2 linked regions of the Diceros bicornis minor genome follow. The protein of the gene in region 1 binds, or shares a complex with, the protein of each later gene. Links are inferred from orthologs where the notes say so. Each region holds a gene or a part of one and is shown on either strand. Other genes may lie near its edges.

Evidence for each region.
Region 2: the proteins of ZC3HAV1 (region 1) and KHNYN are in contact, whole or in part, in a crystal structure (PDB 9BGL), measured with the Homo sapiens proteins. The link is inferred for Diceros bicornis minor from reciprocal best matches to the Homo sapiens genes ZC3HAV1 and KHNYN. Residues at the interface, in NP_064504.2 of Homo sapiens: Glu5, Val6, Cys8, Phe9, Lys12, Ile13, Ala16, His17, Glu29, Ile30, Ala31, Leu32, Leu113, Glu115, Phe118, Ser127, Gly128, Leu129, Asn130, Glu133; in NP_001277186.1 of Homo sapiens: His651, Lys652, Asp654, Phe655, Gln658, Arg659, Pro661, Tyr662, Asn677, Phe678.

Annotation. Positions count from the first base shown.
Region 1 is NC_080742.1:86,915,157-86,925,498, reverse strand, and holds the start of ZC3HAV1 (zinc finger CCCH-type antiviral protein 1), read left to right. Parts: upstream 1-5,493; 5' UTR 5,494-5,555; coding exon 5,556-5,863; intron 5,864-10,342.
Region 2 is NC_080744.1:23,581,142-23,591,596, reverse strand, and holds the start of KHNYN (protein KHNYN), read left to right. Parts: upstream 1-6,346; 5' UTR 6,347-6,435; intron 6,436-6,442; exon of another isoform or gene 6,443-6,571; intron 6,572-7,216; 5' UTR 7,217-7,236; coding exon 7,237-7,437; intron 7,438-8,252; coding exon 8,253-9,352; intron 9,353-9,495; coding exon 9,496-9,626; intron 9,627-9,712; coding exon 9,713-9,809; intron 9,810-10,455. Other genes in the region: CBLN3 (cerebellin-3), read right to left, coding at 4,136-4,333, 4,697-4,816, 5,147-5,527.

The DNA.
Region 1 (10,342 bases):
AAATGAGTGATCTCTTTTGATTTCCAATCTTACCATTCTGAGAAAACTGCTCTCTCAAGCAAGCTGGGATATAAGACTGTATACAGGAGAATTTATTGATGTAAGAGCACTGTCTCAGGATACAAGATTTAGCATCCTGGAAGGACTAGGGGATTATGCAAAATTGCTGCCAGGTGGTTCCTGGAAGCCTAGGAAAGTGATGGCCCATGACACGTGAGGTTGAAATGACTAAATTTCTGGGGCCAACAGTAGAAGAAAGGATTAAAAGACTCAGAAAAGTGGATGTGCTGGAATAGATATATGATGTTAGGCCAGAAGATCCACCAGAGAATTAGGCTTCACAGGATGGCTCGGAGGAATCACATTCATCAAGGCTGTCAGGAACACACTGGTGAGAGGGACACCAACGTCACTAAGAAGTTCAGTGGTGCTTCCCCTGCAGGACATAACTGATGGAAGGAGGGGCTGTCCTGGAACCTGGCTCAGTAATAGCAATGGGGATGATAGGCCCTGATGCAATAGACACCATGTGATGGCCCTTTCCTGCAGAAGCCAGGGCTTGTAATGACTAAGTCAGAGTGGCAGCCAGGGGGCCTGACCTGTAAAGAGCTGTAGGGATTGTGAATAGAACAGAGTTTCCCTAGGAGGAAAATAGATGGGTAGCACACAAAATACTGTTTAACATGTGTAATCTAAAAAGAACAAGAATTAATAAACAGGACAATGAGGAGGATGGTCACCCCAATAAAAAGTCACAATTCCTGGCCCGCTTTCTGTACCTGAACCAGTGTTCGGACTCAGAACCCAGTGACTGAAGAGGTGGCCAGGTCCTCAGGGAGAAGGACCTGCAACATGATGGCAAGAATGAGCTAGAATTGTTCCTCCAATCCTTCCCCAGGGAGATCTACAACATTTACGTGGATGACAGAAGAGAGTACCCAGACATTTTGATGACTGTTGGGCACAAGGTCAGAGGTCACCAATACTCTGCCACCTGAAGCATCTTCGTGGCTCCCATGTTAGAGTGGGAGCAAATGGAGGCCTGATTGAGGTTGAGCTTACAATGGGTCCCCTGGGTCCATGAACCCACTGGTTGTCATTCCTCTAACCCCAAAATGTATAGTTGGCATTGACATACTTGGAAATCAGGCTAACCCTCCATTGCATCCTTGTGATCCTTCCCTACTGTGATAGCTCTCACTTGTTAATGTAGCCAGCCTTTGTCACAGACCCCTTTCCCCTCATTGCTGCATGATGGGTAACTGAACAAAGAGGCTATGGTGACAGAGATGGAGGCAATGCATGGACTATCATTTACCAAAACGAATATAGGTACTACCACCTCTGAATGTCCAATCTACCAGCCATAATGACCGATGCTAAGCTCTATTCCTTAAGGAGACCAATAGGCTACTTGGTGACCAGGTGACTACACTGGGCTCCTTTTGTCCTGGAAGGGCCAGCAGTTTGCTCTCACTGGAATAGACAGATTCCAGGTATGGGGTTGCCTTTCCTGCCTGCAGGACCTCCATAGCACCAATCTCTAGGGACTTAAAGATCGCCTGATCCACAGACATGGAATCCCACATAACATAGCATCCTAACAGAGGACTCTCTTCGTGGCACAGGAAATGGGGGAGTGGGCCCATGAACATGGGATCCGCTGGTCATATCACACACCTCACGACCCAGAAGCTACTGGATAGACAAATATTGGAATGGCCAGTTAAAGATGCAGCTCAAGATCCAGCATGAAGGCAATACACTGCAGTGATGACATCTCCTCCAGGACATCAAGGGATATGACTTCAATCAGACAACTTAGTGTCTGATTATGGTGCTGTGTCCCCAACAGAAAGAGTACGTGAGTCTTGAAACAATGGGCGGAAGCATGAGTGGCCCCCTTAGCATCATTCCAATGACCCACTGGGCTTCCCTGTCCCCACAACTCTGGGCTTTGCAGAGTTAGAGGTCTTGGTCTCCAAAAGGAGCACATTTTTGCCTGGGGACACAGCAAAGATCCCACTGGACTACAACTTATGGCTGCCACCAGGCACTTTGGCTTCCTAATGGTCAGAGACTAGCAGGTAAGGCAAGGGAACGCCGTATTATCAGAGGTAACTGACTTGGTCAGCAGGAGGAGATAGGGCCGCTGTTAGACAGGGACTGGGGAGGAATATGTACGGACTCTGGTGACCTATTTGGGTGCCAGTTGGTACTCTTTTGCCCAACTGTGACTGTGAATAGACATAAGAGCAGAAAGCCTGGTCTGAGATGATGCTCAGACCCCTTAGGAATGAGGATTTAGGGTGCCCACTCAGGTAAGCTACTGAGACCAGGTGAGGTGGTAGCCGAGGGTGAGGGGAATTAGAATGGATAGTGGTGGACAGATATGATGAGGACCAGCTGTGATCTTGCAACCAATTGCAGTGACAGGGGCTATAGTTCATCCTATTAACTTCTCTAAGTTTTCTTTCAGGAAGAGCAGGGCCCATCAGAGCCCTGAAGGAGCTGTTCCCTGAATACTGATGGGGAAATAGATCCATGTGGCACAAAGGGTGCACGATAGCAGACATAATGGGTTACTCAGATCCTCCTTCAAGCCAGGGCTTGCTGCCCAGCTGCAAGGAGTATGTTTAGCTGATAGTCTCCAGCTTTAGCTCCTTCAGGATCCGTCCCAGTGTTTCAGCTGAAGTCACACATTTCTTCATGGCCCCCGCCAATGACGAAGCAAGGCAGGGTACAAGGGCCTAGGCCTTTCTGCCCAAGGCTAGACTTGCTCCCTGTCGGGCTGGCAGAGACTGTCAGGTCTACATCGCCGCCTGACAGCTCCCACAGATCAATCCTGCTTCTTTCCTTGACTTTCTCTGGTGTTACATCCCCGGAAATCTTCTGTATCCTTAACTCCATATCAGTATCTGCTTCCTGGAGAACCCAACCTGTGACGATACAAATTTTAAAATTTCCCAAAATGTCTGCTTTTTCCCTTCCCACAACCCCTTGCATCGTTTTTCATGGCCTCGAATTGAGGGGATTTTATATCTCTATTCCTAACCACTCTAACCAAACCGTACTCCTTTTCCAATCTCCTATATACCCATTGCAGCATTTAACCCCTGATTTCCTTATGTTTTAATGTTTTTTCATGTCTTCCCAAACACAAGCTCCTTGAGTACAGGGACTATTTCTTAAATTTCGACATGTTCAGCGTAACTACCATAAAGGCCACGCAGAAGATACTATGCTGAATTTAATCGATTAGACAACAAAAGCTCAGTCCCTGGGAACCTGTCAGACCACAAATAAGGCCAAGTGAATTGAAAGGTAACTATAGGGGCCAGCCCCCTGGCTTAGCCATTAAGTGCCCCAGCGCCGCTGCTGGCGGCGCTGGGTTCAGATCCCTGCGCACACCTACACACCGCTTCTCCGGCCATTCTGAGGCCAAGTCCCACATACGGCAACTAGAAGGATGTGCAACTATGACATACAACTATCTACTGGGGCTTTGGGGGGAGAAAAAGGAGGAGGATTGGCAATAGATGTTACCTCAGAGCTCGTCTTCCTCAGCAAAAAGAGGAGGATTGGCATGGATGTTAGCTCAGGGCTGATCTTCCTCACCAAAAAAAAAAAAAAAAGGCAACTGTAGAAGAAATTGCTAGAGGGAACAAGAAGTCAGATGATCCTGTGCAGGCCCCACGTTTGGCTGGTGTTCATTACTAAAGTACTCTATTCCCGAGCCAACAGTTCATCTACCTCGAATTACCAAACAGGAGAATTCCCATTAGTCATTTTGAAGAATTTCTAGTTTGACAACCAAATTCTATCATTTTTAAAAAAGGTTTATCTCTGGGCCAGCCCTGTGGCTTGGTGGTTAAGTGCGCGCGCTGCGATGCTGGTGGCCCCGGTTCGGATCCCGGTTGCGCATCGAGGCACCACTTCTCTGTCCATCCTGGGGCTGAGTCCCACATACAGCAACTAGAAGGATGTGCAGCTGTGACATACAACTATCTACTGGGGCTTTGGGGGGAAAAAATGAAATAAATAAAATCTTTAAAAAAAAAAAAAAAGGTTTATTTCTTATCTGATCAGTGACGCACTTCTTTTACCTGGGAGTGTTGGGAGGAAAAACACTCTTCCAACTTCCAACTTTTTCCTCTTCCAATTTGGGTCCAGTGATTGGAGGCCTGCAAATTAACTGACAATAGACAGATTAACAGGAGAAAAGACAAGATTTGTTCACACATTGGGAGGGGGGAGGTTCCAGTAATGGAAAACTCCTGAAATAGCCCCAAGTAACTTTATATATCTCAATTTAACAAAAGGGGTAGTGGGGTTTAGGACTTCAATGGGAGAGTATGGAAGGTTCTATTGGGCTTTTTGATGCTAATAGAAATGGGCAGTCTGTCTCCAAGGCAGCTGAATGAACAGGAAACTCTCTTGGAAAAGGGTTAATGGTAGCTGTATTTTCTGGAGGCTCTGCTTTAGCAGATTAAGAGAAGTTCAGATAAAATTTCTTTCTGCATCATCTGTAGCTCAAATGTTTTCACTTTAAAATAATCTTTATACCAACTCTTGGGGCCTACGTGGGTCCCCGCAGGGGGAAAAGGTCTTGTCCAAATACCTAAAGAGAACCTATCTAAAATCTTGGGATGTGTCTAAGCCTGCTCGTCTGTGAGTACTTGCCACCAGGGACTAAGCGGTGTCCGGGACACCGCTGTTAGTGATAGACACAGGCAAGAATGTGTCAAGACGGGGTTCTTCAGAAAGCTTGTGAGAAGGCAAAAAGGAAGGAGAGTAATAATCGCTGTTCTTTAGGAGGGCATGGGAGAAAGTGTACGTTGGTCCTGGCCAAACGGACCACGATCTGGGGTCTGGGGGCCAGATTTGGGGAACCTCGGGTAGCATCCGGGCTCCAGCTCGATGGCTGTGCGTGTTTACTCGTTACTTCCTCAAGTACAGAGTGAGGATAATATCTAACTCGTGGAGTTGTTGTGAAGATTCACCAATACCGCCCAGCACGGAGCAAGTGCGCACTCAGGTCTATTCGTTCAGGGGATGTGTGGGGTGGAGAAAGAGGGCTCCTCAAGGGGGTTCCCAAGACTCGCGTCATTCGCCACTTTCAGCTGGTTTATAAAAACTCTGCCAGCGCCCAGAGATCATTTTTAGTTTCTCTTCCTTCGAAAGAATCCTCGCGGCGCTGAGCTGGGGCACCTCACCCCCGCGCAGCCTGGAACTGAGAGGGAGCTGTCCGGGTGGTGCGGGCAGATTTGCCCGCGCTTGTTCGCTTTCATTCCATTCGGTTGCCGTCGCGATAGATTTTAAATCTGACACAGGGACCGGGTCGGTGCGATCTGGCCTCTTGACCCAGAGCCGAGTGTGAAACCGAAAGCGCTGCGCTCAGCTAACGGCGATGGAGAGTGCGCGCTGGCTCGCCCCGGGCGCGCCCAGCCGGAGCACCGCCCGCGCCCGCCCCCGCCCCCGCCCCCGGGGACTCTTGTAAGTTTCGATTCTCCCCGGAGCAGCCCCGCGGCGCAGCCAGCCCAGCGTAGAGCGCCATGGCGGACCCGGAGGTGTGCTGCTTCATCACCAAAATCTTGTGCGCCCACGGGGGCCGCATGTCCCTGGACGCGCTACTCAACGAGATCGCGCTCCGCGAGGCGCAGCTCTGCGAGGTGCTGGAGGCGGCCGGGCCCGATCGCTTCGTGGTGTTGGAGACCGGCGGCAAGGCCGGGGTCACCCGGTCAGTGGTGGCTACCACTCGAGCCCGGGTCTGCCGTCGCAAGTTCTGCCAGAGACCCTGTGAAAACCTGCACCTCTGCAAGCTCAACCTGCTGGACCGGTGCCACTATTCGCAGTCGGATCGGTAAGTGCGCTGAGACGGAGGGGCGGCTTCCCGGGGTCCCGGTCTGGGAGGACTGCCGCGACTGCTGCTCCTCGAGGGGCGCGCCCTCGCGGGGACCTCGCGCCCGACAGCCTCTTCCTCCAGCTCCTCACTTCTCTGCTCCCCTTGGAGAGCCCCTGCTAGGCCCGCGCTTCTACTCTTGGCAGTTCCCTTTCCTCCAATGCTTCTAGACCTTTCCTCGAATATGGCTAACGCGATATTGCCCGGGTGAAGACTACGCTTAACTCCCACCCCCATGAGAATAAAGTACTTTTGGGCAAGTCAGGGCCTAGAGAATTTGGAGGCAGGTTTGGGAACAAAGGAATATGCCTCTACTCTCTGGAGTCTTGAGTCTTTCCCTCTCTGTTAGCTTCGTCCCTAGGCGTGTTGCGGTCCTCCCAGCACCCCAGCCGCGTTCGGCACCCGGATCCGTCTCCACCGCACTGAGCCGGGGATCTCTGCTTGGCCCTCCATTCCTCTCGTTATCACTTTTCTGATATCTGAAGCTAGTCCGCAGCCCCTGACCAGGAGAGTCCTCTTCAAAGTTGCCAATGATGGATGGTTCTCACCCAGCGCTCCTTTCCCGTGGTGTCACTGCGGTGGCCCGAACCGTTGACGGGCTCTTGGGACCACTTGGAAACAGTGCAGCTTACCTCTCAGGCAGCTGCTTCTGTTGCCACTTGTTCTTTTTTGCCAGATAAATATAGGTGTATCCCAAGGTTTGAGTTAAGCCTTTTGACCTGTCTTCCAAGTCTCTCCCTAAGAGAGCTCACTCCCTTGGGTTCAGCTGTCACATATACAAAGACGGCTTCCATATGTACATCCGCTGCCCACATCTTCCTACTGACTCTAGGTTCTTCATCTCCCAGGGTCTAAGGAGCATCTGTACCTGAATATCCTGACAACACGAAGCAAATTCATCTTGTTTCCCCCAGGGCAGGCTCTCTGACAGTCCCCTCAACCCCTTCTTCATCCTTCACAAACTTGAAGTGGTGTCCTAGTGTCCAAAATGGTGGTCATCAAACTTTTGATCCTGCACTTGTTAGCAAAAAACTTTACTTACCCCCAATATATGTGTAATAAAACATACAAAAGACAGGTAATTTAAATGGATGAGGTAGGTGAGATTAATATTTTTTTTAAATGTATTTGTTTAGGGCAAAACTGTAAAATTTTTAAAAAGTGCTTGAGTATGCTCCGTTATTTAAAAAAATATTTGTTGAATATGTTGTGAGGCACCAATCTGAAAGTCTGTTTCTGAGTTTCGGATTATGTGTGTAGAGGGAGTCATCTAAGTCACAACAACAGATGAAATCAGGAAGGAGGAAAGGAGGGGAGGGTGGAGGATACAAAGAAAAGGAAGGAACATTCTAGCTCACTATACTGAATAGCAACAGAAGTGGAAGGCTTTGTTATCTCTTTTTCTGTTCTGTTATGAAAAATTATTCACCAACTAGTGTTGACTTTTAGTTTTAAATACATATGCTTCCTATGTTTTAATTTTTTACTATGGATATATTCAAAATATACTAAAGTAGAGAAATAGAATGATGAACCTTCATGTACCCATCATTTCACTTCATCGGTTTCCAAAAACCGTGGCCAATCTTGTTTCATTTATTGGCCCCTTCCCATCCCTGTCCCCAACTCCAAAGTGTTATTTTAAACCAAATTCCAGAGATCATTTGCTTTGTAAATGCTTAAGTATCTCTAGAGGATAAGAACTCTATTTTATTAACATAACAGCAGTACGATGATCACATTTTTTTACAATTACAATTTTAATATCATCTAGTATCCAGTTGGTGTTCAAATTTCCCTGATTGTTTTATAATCTGACTTGTGGTTTTTCAGGAAAAATCCTACACAGGCATAATCTATAATTGTTTCGATATGTTACATATCCAATATACTTAGAAACTTTGTTTCAATCTCTTACACACAATATGTTTAGAAACCTAAGTTTTTTGTTTTATGAATTTTATTATGGTATTTTTTTTTTGCCTGATTTGAAACATCAAAACCATTGAAACTCATAAATTGGGTTGTTAACCTCCACTTTTCTATATTTTAAGAGTGTGTATAATATAGGGATAATTTGGTATGTGCAAGTTTGGATGGATCCTCTGGGGAATTCATTAAAGTCTTATTTTTAAATTTTTTTTAGTGAAGTGATAAATTCTTATTTCTTACATTTACTAATCTAGTCACATTTTTAATTTCCTTTTACATCACTTTTGAATTTGAGAATTAGAAATTTTTGATCCATTAATGTACATTGTTTCCTCATAATAAAGACTCTTGGGAGATTTTTTTTTTTTTTGCCTGAAAGCCTAGAAAATGGTTTTTTTCCCCAAGTATGTTTTTAAAATAGTCTCCCCTTAGCAACTTATAAAACCTTCTCTTCTAAAACTTGGCGGTGTGGGAATGTAAGGACCTTTTTTGTAGGTTACATGTTAATGGAATCTGTTGACCAATTGATACCCATCTTGAGATTACCGCTCAATTTGATAAACTGTTCTCTGCCTGAGGACAGTTTGCATTTTGCTGGACTTAGAAAATTTCCTCTCTAGTGCTATTATTCATACATAGGATTTCTCCTGTTTATTCTATAGTTCTCTTTTCTCTTACATTACTTTTATTTTTATTTTTTTAAATTAATTAATTAGGGGCTGGTCCCCTGGCATAGTGGTTAAGTGCACGAGCTCTGCTGCTGGCGGCCTGGGTTCCGATTGCCGGCGCACTGCTTGTCAGGCCATGCTGTGGGGTGTCCCATATAAAGTGGAGGAAGATGAGCACAGATGTTAGCCTAGGGCCAGTCTTCCTCAGCAAGAAAGAGGAGGATTGGCATGGAGGATTAATTAATTAATTTTTTTTGTGAGGAACATTGGCCCTGAGCTAACATCTGTGCTGATCTTACCCCATTTGGTATGAGGATACCAAATGGCTTGATGAGCAGTGTGTAGGTCTGCACCCGGGATCCAAACCTTCGAAGCCAGGGACGCTGAAGCAGAGCACGGGAACCTAACCACTATGCCACATGGCTGGCCCCTAACATTGCTTTTAGTTATACATTTTAGTCAACGAAGGGCTTGCTTCAGTTGGATAATTATTTGTTTTGGCACATCACTTTGGATATTTCTATTTGTTTTGCTGAAATATATGCCCACATGTGGAGTTGTAATCCCAGTTCTGACGCAAATAATAACTACCATTTATTGAACTAATAACCATGTACCAAGCACTATGGTAAGCACTTTAGAGATGGTAGCCAAGTTAGTCTTTACTATGATTCTTGAGGTAGGTATTGTAAGTCCTATCTTGATGTAAGGAAACAGGCCTAGAGCTGTTTAGAAATTTACCAACTGTCACATAGCAGATAGTGTTCAGACTTAGTATAGAACGCAAATCTGAATGACTTCTTAACTAGTCCTTGTGTTGTGAAGTAGCTATATGAAGTGTGATCTTTCATTAATTCCAGTTATTTTTTTGCAAGCATGATTTCTAGTTAACCGTTTAAAGCAGGCTTGTCAGAGTGTCTTCAACTAGCTTTGTGGTTTCAGCCCATGTGGGTGTTTCCCCAGGGCTTCCTGTTTGTATGCCTTTCTCTTGCTTCATTGAAACTTTGGGTGGGGGTGGGTAGATGGGAAGAGGATTGGTTGACTATTTCATAAATTGAAAAAAATACCAAAAAATGCAAAGAATAATATAACAAGCATCAGAGTATATATATTCTGAGTATGTAGCAAAAGTTATATAAAGGAATATATAGTATAATAAGCTTATAACTCGCCTCTCAGAATAAATAAATGTTTACATTTTTTCATTTTTGCTCCTTATCTTTTAAAATAAATAAAAACCAGAAAAGGCCTAAGGGTGTTCTTTTTTTCTCTTCCCTAGTCTCCTTCCCCTCTCTCCCTAGAAGCAACCTCAATCATGATTTTGGTGTGGATCCTGTCCTTCCATGATTTTATAATTTCCTTGCACGTATATTTGTATCCATATACAAAATGTAGTATTGTTTTATGTGTTTTAGAATGTTTACTCAATGTTGTGTTTTGGAGATCTATTCATGTCCTAAGGATCTAGTTTATTTGTTTTAACAGCTGTATAGTATTTCATCATCTGATTTATACCACAGTTCAGCACCTATTCCCTCAATAATGGGCATTTGTGGTATTTCCAATGTTTTGCTACAACAAACTGTGCTGCCAAGAATATACATGTCTCTTGGTGCTCATGGCAGGAACTTCTACAGGGTAGATCATTAGGAAAGGGAATTGCTGGGTTGAATGGTTGCACAGCTTCAGCTATTCTAGATTCTGACAAGTTAGTATTAAAGGTGGTTGTTCCAGTTTACACCTTCATGTTTGAGAGTCCCCGTTTTCCCATTTTATGGCCAACTAGCACTTGGTGTTACAAGACTTTTTTGATTTATGCCAATCTGAAGGGTATAAAATG
Region 2 (10,455 bases), on another chromosome or scaffold:
GAAGGCTTCAGTTGGAGTTTGGGGAGAACGAGGAAAGAAGTTGGCAAAGGAAACCACAGAGGAATCGCTTGGAGGATTGAGAACCAGGGGTCGCTGGAGACCATGGATCTAGATTCACAGCGAATCCTTCAGCTGGTGGGACTTTTCTCTGTAGTAATCAGCTGCCAGGGTGTGGGCGTAGGGAGGAGGGACAGTTGGATTCTATTCTTAGCATCCTTGAAGTCTGAGGAGCTTTTTGCACCTGGAGAGGAACACTAACCACCCTCTGTGCTTTATTTATTCTTTAATCTATTTACTTCATACCTACTTAAGCAAAAATTGTTTAAATATTTAAATATTATTTATATAACCAAGTCAAAATCTACACATTTTACAAATCAAATTATTTAAACATTGATTGCAAACTTAAATCCTCCTAGTATTTCAATAGAATCACAAGTATAACATGTCAGCTTCTCTAAAAGCATCAAACATTTTGGTAAAGTACACACATCTGACAAGATTATACAATTTATTACACTTAAACCCACTATAAAACTGGGTTTGTAGACCCAAGAGCTGGACATTATCTCAGTTCAGACCAATTTTTGAATTTGGATAGCTAAAAGAACATTATCTCAGTTCAGATGAAGTTTTGGATTATTAATCGATAAATTCTTGGTTGGGACCTGGGAACTGGTTTACTTGCTAAGATGAAAATCTGAGCCAGTGTTTATCTTGTATATCACGGGAAATTTTCAAGCCCACACCTTTTCCATGCATTTATTGTATTGTAACTGGATGCCTTTTCTTTTTTTTTTTATTTAAAGATTTTATTTATTTATTTTTTTCCCCCCAAAGCCCCAGTAGATAGTTGTATGTCATAGCTGCACATCCTTCTAGTTGCTGTATGTGGGACGTGGCCTCAGCATGGCGGGAGAAGCGGTGCGTCGGTGCGCGCCCGGGATCCTAACCCGGGCCGCCATCAGTGGAGCACGTGCACTTAACCGCTAAGCCACGGGCCGGCCCAGGATGCCTTTTTTTTAAATGATGTCATCTTTAAGGGTGGGACTATGATGTCCCAAAGATGTCCATGACCAAATCCCCGGAAGCTCTGAGTATGTTTCATGGCAAAAGGGCCTTTTTCAAATGTAATTAAGGTTATTAAAATAGGGAGACCATCCTTGATTATCTGGGTGGCCCAATCTAATCACATGAGCCCTTAAAATCAGAGAACCCTCCAGTGAGGTCAGAGACATGTGGCAGAAGGGTAGGTCTGAAAGATTCAAAGTGTCAGAAGGACCTGGCTTAGAGAAAGAGGAGAACGAAGACCTTAGTCCTACAACCATAAGGAACCGAATTCTGAGTGAGCTTGGAAGTGGATCCTTCCACTTCAGTAAGGAAGGCAGCCCTGCCTACATCTTGCCTTTGACCTTGTGAAACCCCAAGCAGAGAATCCAGTCACACTCTGCTGGACTTCTGACTTACAGAAACTGAGAGAATAAACAACTGTTGTGTTAAGCCACTAAGTTTGTGTAATTTGTTACACGGCAATAGAAAACCAATACAATAACTTTACTGATATTATTTACAAATTTATCTAGCTTATTTGCATTTTAAAAAGCTTCTAGTTGTTTTCCCCAATATCCAATCTCCTCTTCTTCCTTATTACAAAACTGCTGACTTTTGGCTGGGCATGGCTGCCTGGAATAAAGACTCTATTTCCTAGCCTGTCTCCTGCCAGGCATGACTAAATTCTAGCCAACTAAATGCAATCAGAAACGTCAGGTGCACCTTTCAGAAAGCGTCTTTAAAGGAGTGTGCCTTTTCTTCCTTCCTCCTTCCTGGGGGCTATAAGGCTGATGTTATGGCCGGAGCTCAAGGAGCCATCTTGCGCCAGGAGGTGACATGCTAAATGATGGGCTGTGTTGATCATAAAACTGCCATCCATCCCTGGACTCTATTTGCAGATTTTTCTATGTGAGGCAGAAATAATCTTCTGTCTTGTTTAAGCCATTATTATTTTGGGTTTCACTGTTACTGTAATCTCATTATAATTAGTAGGGTAATATAGAGGCTCCCTTTCCCAAGAGATGAAGGATCAAGTTTGAACAGTGAGCAGTTATCTTTTGGATGTTTGACCAATTCCTCATCTTGTAACAAACACACTGTTGGACTTTTTTTCTTCCTAGTTGTAATACATGACCAGATGGTGCCAATCAGTCTCTTTCACTCCTGGTACAGTTCCAACTTTCTCTGGAATTACTCACAGCTTACTGTATCCACCCCTCCCTACTTACATAGATAAAAATAAATGTACCTTATGAATAGATAAAATACTATATACTCTTCTACTTATCACAATTAACTAAAAATATCCTATTATATTCATTCTTCTTCACACAGTGTATTGGTTACCTTTTGCACATTTTATAGTAACTTTTTGCTTCTTGAATATTACTACAGAGTCATGGATTTTAAAAATTCACCTTGTTCCAATTAGCAGTATTATTTTCCTTTTGATTATCAAATTGTCACAGAATGTCAACAGAGAGCCTTTTAAAATTGTTTTTTTTTTTTGCCTTTTCAGTTCTACTCTATACATTGACAAAAGTATCCTTCTTTTTGGTCATCAATATGTTCCAGGCCTAGAGTTATTTAAGACACAGAGCTATTCTCCAAGGAACTCTGAGTCCCTTTAAAGGTGAATAATATTTGAGGCAAAGATCCAGGTGCTAAGAATGCATATCAGATTTTTCCTGATGTTGTTTCTAAGTTTGAAAAAGTTGTTTCTTTTGAAAACCACAAATTCACATTGGTATTTCCTATTTAACTCAAGCATTACCAAATCCTTTTTTTATTTGACTCTAATATACAGTTTTAGATTTATTTTCTCTACAACATACCTGCTTATATTCTATAACTCCTGATCCAAATTGTAACAGCATCTTCTCTCTTTAAAGATCCTAGAGTGTCTCATCGACCATCCTTCTCTAATTACTTTATTGATGGATTCATCCATGCTGGGCCAATGGGACAGCGAGATAAGACAGAGAATTTATAATACTGGAAGGAGAGTAGGTGAAGGGATGAATCGTGGAATCCAAGGTAATGAGACTTTTAAGAAGGAGGATAAGACAGCACAAATCAGGAGAAAGAAGAGAGGTTATGGGATAGTCTGGAAAAGGTACAATAAAGGTAACCGAGAGAGCTGGGAGGAAGGAGGTGGCAGTCAGAGCGTGGAGTGATGGAAGTTGAGACTACAGAGGTGGAGCAGTTCTAGGAGGTGGCCATGGTCATTGATATGTTTCAAGCCTGGATATCTACACTTGCCCACATATGACCTTCTACCCCCACCTCCAGCTGCCCAAGGAAGCTCTGCACACCTGACGTGACCCAGGAGGCAGCCACCAGCTCTGTGGCAGAGCAAACATACACACTCCATGTCTCAGGTGGGGAGGTGAGGGCCACAGTCCATCTGGGACCTGGCACAGATGGACGCCTGGGTTTGCTGCTTGCTGGCTGCCCTAATGTACATAAAATATGAGTACCATGTGCAGGCTGGGCGCATGCCGCCTTGCTGCCCTACCAGCCACAGGCACCGGGCTGCTCCATGGCCCTCCCCACACTTCTGCTGGTGGCTGAGCCTCCCGCCCTAGACCATGAGGCGCTGGCTCAGCTTCTGACTGTGCTGACTGAGATCTGTGATGCTGGCACTCCTCACAGGAAGGAGCCTGCAGGGTACTCTCAGGCTGGTCCATCTGGGCCCCTGTGGGGGCCTGTCAGGCTCACCTGTGCCACCTGTCCCTAAATAGCACTGAGCAGGAAGCTGGGGGCAGGGGGGCGGGACAGGAGCAGAGTCTGCAAAGTAGCACAGGCCTCCCTACCTGTCAAGTGCTGTCCTGACTAGGGCTGCAGGCACAGAGATGCAGTGGGAGGCTGGGAGGGCAATGGGGAGGGGAAGAGGGGCCAGGTCCTGAGACACCACAGCTCTGCTCTTCACCTTGGGTGTTCGGCACAGGGTCCCATGCAAGGAAGTGGAACACAGACAGCCAGAGGCAGCCTCTCTCCTGCCCCAAAGATGCTGCTTCTGGGTAGAAGAGGGCAGAGGGCAGAGGGCAGGGGCTAGATTCCCATCCTTGAAAGGCTTGAGCCCTCAGAGTGGGAAAATGAGGAAGCCAGAAAAACTTGAATATTTCCAGCCACCCAGCAGGTTCCCCCGACGCAGGCGCAGGGACACCCGGTCCCCGGGGTCCAGGGGCAGTAGCACAGAGCTGGTGGCTGCCTCTCGGGTCACGTCAGGGTCGTTGGCAAAGGCTGAGATGACAGGCCATGTGTTCAGCATCAGGCTCACCTGGGGAGGGGAGCCTAGTTAGCACCTCTCCCCAGCCCTTCTCCTAGGACTGCCACTTTCCCCAGGGCTCCCTCTCTTCTCTCCAGCCCCAGAGGGACACTCTGGAACCTGGGAACCTGGGGTTCAGTGCACTCCTCTGGAAGGGCTGAGGGGTGGCCAGTGTTGGACTCTGCCCCTCCTCCACACCCTCTGCTAGGCAGGCCCTTTCCTCCCACACAGGAGTCCCTTGCTCCTGGCCCCCCAGGACACAGGTCAATAGAGGGTATGCCCAGGGGTCAGCTGGGCTCCACTTATTCCCCCTCCCTCCCCTCTCTTCCCTTCCCAAGCCAGGGAGCCAGGGATGGGGCCCAGCACGCAGGTCACCTGGACGGTTTGGCGGTTGTACACCTTCACCACATGGAACCGGAAGCTGTAGACGCCTCGGACAGGGGCCACGAAGGAGCCTGAGGCCCGGTCAAAGCCACCGCCCTCGTTTACTAGGACCTGCAGGAAGCAGACCCTGCTGAGTGGGGCTCGTGGGGGCTCGAGGATGCCTGGGGCTCAGGGAAACCACTGGGTTGGGGGAAGGGGCAGCGAGTAAGAAAAGAAGGGGTGGCAAGTAGACTCGAACAGGAGGGATGCACGGATTCAAAAGGAGGAATGCACGGATTCAAAAGAAACGGTGAGAAAGAGCAAGGAGGGGTGTGGGCAGGATGTAGGGAAAGGAGGCAAGCAGTGGGGTTGAGAGGCAACTGGCCACAGTGGGGGGCTGTTTCCATAACAGCAAAGTGGGCTTGAACAGTTGGGTCCAGGTCCTTGCAGGTAGGGGATTACCTGGTCGAAGTAGATGGCCCCACTGGTGCCATTGCTGATCTCGCCTGCTGGCTCATGGTGGTGGCTTCGGACTGCAGCAAATGCCACTCTTCCGGGGGGCGCCTCTCCCAGGGCTGCTCCCCCAGCCCCCCCTGCGGCAGCTCTGCTGGGTTCACAGACCACCAGGCACTCGCCCTCCAAGAGGACAGGCTCTGCCCCCTCCTGGGCCCACCCAGCTCCCAAGGCCAGAAGCACTAGGGCCAAGGGCAGCCCGGGGCTGAAGGAGGGACCTGGCGGCCAGTGCTGCTTTGCTCCCAGCATGGCTGAGTGGCTCTGTGACCTGCAAGTCCTCCTCTTTCTGCTCCTTTCGGTTTGCCCTCCTCTTCCCCAGACTCTCACCATCCCTCACCCCGCTCCTCAGCCCTCTCTGGGACTCAGTGTCACCTGGTCCTGTGGCATCTCCCTCTCCATACCTCTCTGTGCCCCACAACTCTGTCCTGCCTCTCACTCCTGCTGTCACTGTAGTTCCCTCCTCCTTGGCAGGGCACAAAATGACAGCAGTTGGGCTCTGGGAGGGAGAGAAGGGATGAAGCAGCCAGAGAGGAGGGCTACAGCCAGAACCCAGGGCAGCCCCTCCAGAGAGCACTGAAGGCGGGAACTGGGACGACAGAGAACATGGGTGTGCGTGTGAGAGTGTGAGAATGCGTGACTGCGTGTATGTGAGTGTGTGAGCGTGTCCATATGCGCGAGAAACAGCTCCCACGGCCCCTTCCTCCTCCTCATCTCCTCTCTTTGAAATCCCTCACAAGTCAACTGCCCTCTCAGCGGCGTGTTTTCCACTGACGGAAGCAAGGGGGAGCCCTTGTCTTTTCCCCACAATTGTTTTGGTGGAAAGTGTTTGCGCCAACAGTGTCACTATCTTGTGACCCTGGGCCAGTCTCTTTCTCTCCATGGTTTTCCATATCTTCATCCGAAAGGACTGGGTTAGTTCCTTTAAGATCCTCTTCACCTCCAACTCTCAGCGAGCGGTTCCTCTTTCCTGAGAAACCACTGCGCAGAACGAGCGAGCGAGAACTCACCGAAGCGGAGAGAGCAGGTGGGGCAGGCAACGGAGAGAGCCCAGGAGAACTCCGGGCGAGCGGGCGGGGCGGGGCCGGGGGCGGGGCCATATCCGGGGGCGGGGTCGAGGCCGGGCGGGCGCCGAGGCCCCATGCAGGCCCAGCTGCGGGAGGGGCCCGGCTGACTCCGCCCCGGGCCAGGAAGTGACTCAAAAAACTATTCGAGATGCAGAGAAGAGAGGTCCCCGTTGGGTGAGGAATCCGGGAAGGCCCGCCCGAGATTCGGGCCCCCTCCCTTCTCCCCTGGGCCGGGGGCGCGGGCGAAGCTGGGGCAGGCGGGCACCGAGAGGCGCCGGAGGGACTGAGGCGGCACGGGCGGCCGAGGCGGGTAGGCGCCCCGTCCCCTGCGCCCGGGCCGCGGGGACCGGAGGCCGCGGCGCAGAGCGGTCCGGGGGCGGCGGCCGCAGGCAGCTGTGGGCGGGGCCCGCCCGGCCCCTGGGTCCCCAGTGGGGCGCTTGGCGCTATCTAGGGGGCCAGAGGACGGCGGAGGGAGGGGGAGGGGTGGGAGTGGCTAGAACCTTGGAAATGGCAGACTGGGGACCCCGGAGGATAGCCCAGTTCAAGCCCTTGTGCGGATTCATCTTTAAGAGGTCGTCTTGGGCCCGGAGGTTGCAGAGTCCCCCGAGGAGAGGGACTCTTTCGTCACCTGTCCACTCCTTCTGGCCTCCAGACCAAGCTGGAGCCCCCCACCCTTCCAGCTCAGGGCTGTGGTCATAATTTTTAAAGACCAGGCACCCATCCCAGATAGACAGCCTTATTTATCCATGACTTCCTCTCCGGAGAGAAGGCCGGTGTGGCTGGATAACCTGACACTCCCCTCCTACCTCCAAGATGGACTGATATGCTTGTTACCTCTTGAGTTGTTTACCGGATCAGTAACTAGGTGCGACCTGTTGATAGCTGGTGTAGGCCGCGAGACCAAGATTTGGGTTGAGGGGACGGCAGAGCTCTGAGCTGCCTTCCCTTCTTTCAGGGCCGGGCGGCCAGGCAGCCATGCCTACCTGGGGGGCTGGCTCGACGTCCCCTGACCGCTTTGCGGTGTGTGCGGAGGCCGAGGACAAGGTGCGGGAGCAGCAACCCCATGTGGAGCGCATCTTCAGCGTGGGGATGAGCGTCCTTCCGAAGGACTGTCCTGAGAACCCTCACATCTGGCTGCAGCTGGAGGGCCCCAAGGAGAACGCCAGCAGAGCTAAGGTGAACGCCCCTCCCTGACCCTTCCGGGGAACAATGACTTCCTCCCCCGTGGAGGCAGGGGAGAGGAGGGGCTGGGGCGGATCTTCCTCCTTGCTGGTCTCACTGGCAACCTCAGCGGCCTTGAGCTTTGAGGGACTTCCTAACTATGTTTATCTGGAGTTTTGGTTTCATTTGTGCTGTGACGACCCAAGTTCTGCCAGGGCTTGGAGACAAGTGATTCAATTCAAATCACTGGTGCTTTTTGGGAGAGTAGAGATAATCCGGTTGGGCAAGCAGGCCCCACCAAGGAATTCTCTGTGAGGTGGGAGGCTGGGCCACATTGCTTCCTTGGGAGTCAGCTGGGGCTTCTAGTAGGGCTCCACCACCTACCAGCCTTGAGGCCCAAGTCTCAGTTTTCTTATGTATAAAATGTAAATAATAGTATCCACCTCATTGGGCTTATTGTGAATGAGATAAAGCATGTGACGCATGAGTTCAGTAAAAGTTAGCAATGACAATCATTATGATGGAAATATACAACACAATATACACATATAAATATTTAGAGAGACAGCCTTGTAACCAATTAATTATAATATCTCAAATTGAGTCAAGTTCTAAATGGAAATATTAGCCACAGGCTATCAGCTGAAAAGGGAAAGAAGTGAGATTCTGCATCCCTTTTTAATCCCCGTTTTTGTCAGGATCTGTGGGGCTCCGTTGCTCTGCAAAGGCATCTTGGAGCTCAGGGGAGAGCAATGGGCCTGAAGGGGCTACTGGGCCACTTACGATCCCAGCAGTCTCCTTTTTCCTCCCTCCCATTTTTTCCCTCCCAGGAATACCTGAAGGGTCTCTGCAGCCCGGAGCTGCAGGATGAAATCCACTACCCATCCAAACTGCACTGCATCTTCCTGGGAGCCCAGGGCTTCTTCCTGGATTGCCTGGCCTGGAGCACGTCAGCACATCTGGTGCCTGGGTCACCTGGCTCGCTGATGGTCAGTGGCCTGACTGAGGCCTTCGTCATGGCTCAGAGCCGAGTGGAAGAGCTGGTGGAACGGCTGAGCTGGGACTTTCGGCCAGGGCCAGCCCCTGGAGCTGGAGTGCTGAGAGACTTCTCTGCCTTGCTGGAGGCCCGGGGGGATGCCCACAGAGAGGCCCTGCTGCAGCTGCCCCTGGCCGTCCAGGAGGAACTGCTGAGCCTGGTGCAGGAGGCATCCAGGGGGCAGGGGCCCCAAGCACTCCCCTCCTGGAAGTGTGGGAGCCCAGGCCCACTGGGTGCTCAGTACCAGGGAGTCAGAGCTCCCCTGAGTGAAGGCAGCGAGTCCCTGGACACTGGACCTATGGGGCGAGGAGAGTCAAGGGGAGAGAGACAGGCTATGGAGAAGGAGGGAGGGAGGCAGGGTGGTCTCAGGGAGATGGATTTGGGGTGGAAGGAGCTGCCTGGGGAAGAGGCCTGGGAGAGAGAAGCGGCCTTCAGGTTGCAGTCAGAGGGAGGAGAGGCAGGGCAGGTGGGGCCCTTGAAAGGGAAGGCCCTGGGGAAGGAGGAGGTGCCTCAGGAAAGAGGAAGTTTCTGTGTCCCCAGTGAGCCTCTTGGTGCCCAGGGTCCCTGTCAGAGGGTACCTCCACCCCGGGGAGCCTCCCTCCTCCAGCGGCTCCACAATGGGAAAGCCTCACCTCCAAGAGTGCCGAGCCCCCCACCTGCGCCCGAACCCCCGTGGCACTGTGGAGACCGAGGAGACAGGGGAGACAAGCAGCAGGTCGTGGCTCGAGGTCGGGGGTCTCCGTGGAAACGAGGCACCCGGGGGGGCAACCTGGTGACTGGCACGCAGCGTTTCCAGGAGGCCCTACAGGACCCTTTCACCCTGTGCCTTGCCAATGTGCCTGGCCAGCCAGACCTCCGTCATATTGTCATTGACGGCAGCAACGTGGCCATGGTGTGAGTACCCAGTGGGGCTGAGGGTCCTGGGGAGGGGGAGGACATGGGCAGTTCTGGGGACATGTGCTGAGGGGCAGGCAGTCCAGTCAGGCTGCCAGGCCCCTCCTCTGGGGCCCCAAAGTGCTGACCCCTTCTGACCGCAGGCACGGCCTCCAGCACCACTTCTCGAGCCGGGGCATTGCCATTGCTGTTCAGTACTTCTGGGACCGTGGCCACCGTGACATAACCGTCTTTGTGCCTCAGTGGCGCTTCAGTAAGGATTCCAAGGTCAGAGGTGAGTTGGGCCTGGTCTTTTGTGTCCTGGGATAGGCCCTGCTTCCACCTTGAGGGTAACTCTGTTATGCTCCACTGTTTCTCTAGAGGGTCACTACCTGCAGAAGCTGTACTCCCTCAGCCTGCTCTCCCTCACTCCCTCTCGAGTCATGGATGGCAAGAGGATCTCCTCCTATGATGACAGGTACTTGCTTCTCTATTGGCCTCAGGCTTGATGTTCAAGGAGCCCAGTAGAAGACTGAGGGAGAGACAGATGCTCCTGACCCTTTGTGCTGTCTCTAGGCCTGGGTAGTGGGAAAAGAGCCAATTATTCCTCCAAGTGCTTGTAAGACTGGGTAGGTAAACCTGCCTTGCAGGCGAGATGAGACGGATGGTTGTTTGCCCATTCATCATTCGGTTTTCACTCATCAAACTAAATGATGCCTTGTGTTTATCTAGTGCCATAGTGTCTAGAAAATACTGGCTTAATGGAAAGATGGGAAAGCTAATGACATGAGTAGCTGACAGATGCCTTCTTACAACCTAAACTCGAAACATGTAGAGAAATTCCCCAACCTTCTGGAAAAACCAGAGTAAATGTTCCAAATAGCAAGACAAGTGAAGAGTCATAATCCATGCATAATAAGTCTGTACACAACATGGTGCAATAGAAAGATCGCTGGACTTAGAATTTGAAGATCTGAATTTGAGCCCAAGTGGCACTCCTCCTTGACTCGGACTGTGGACCAAACGTAGAGGGTTAACCTCTTTGTCTCAGGGTCCTCTTCCATTCATTCACCCTCCTCGAGAATATAAAAGAAGATAAGGTATGTGCTCGCTGCACTCAAGGT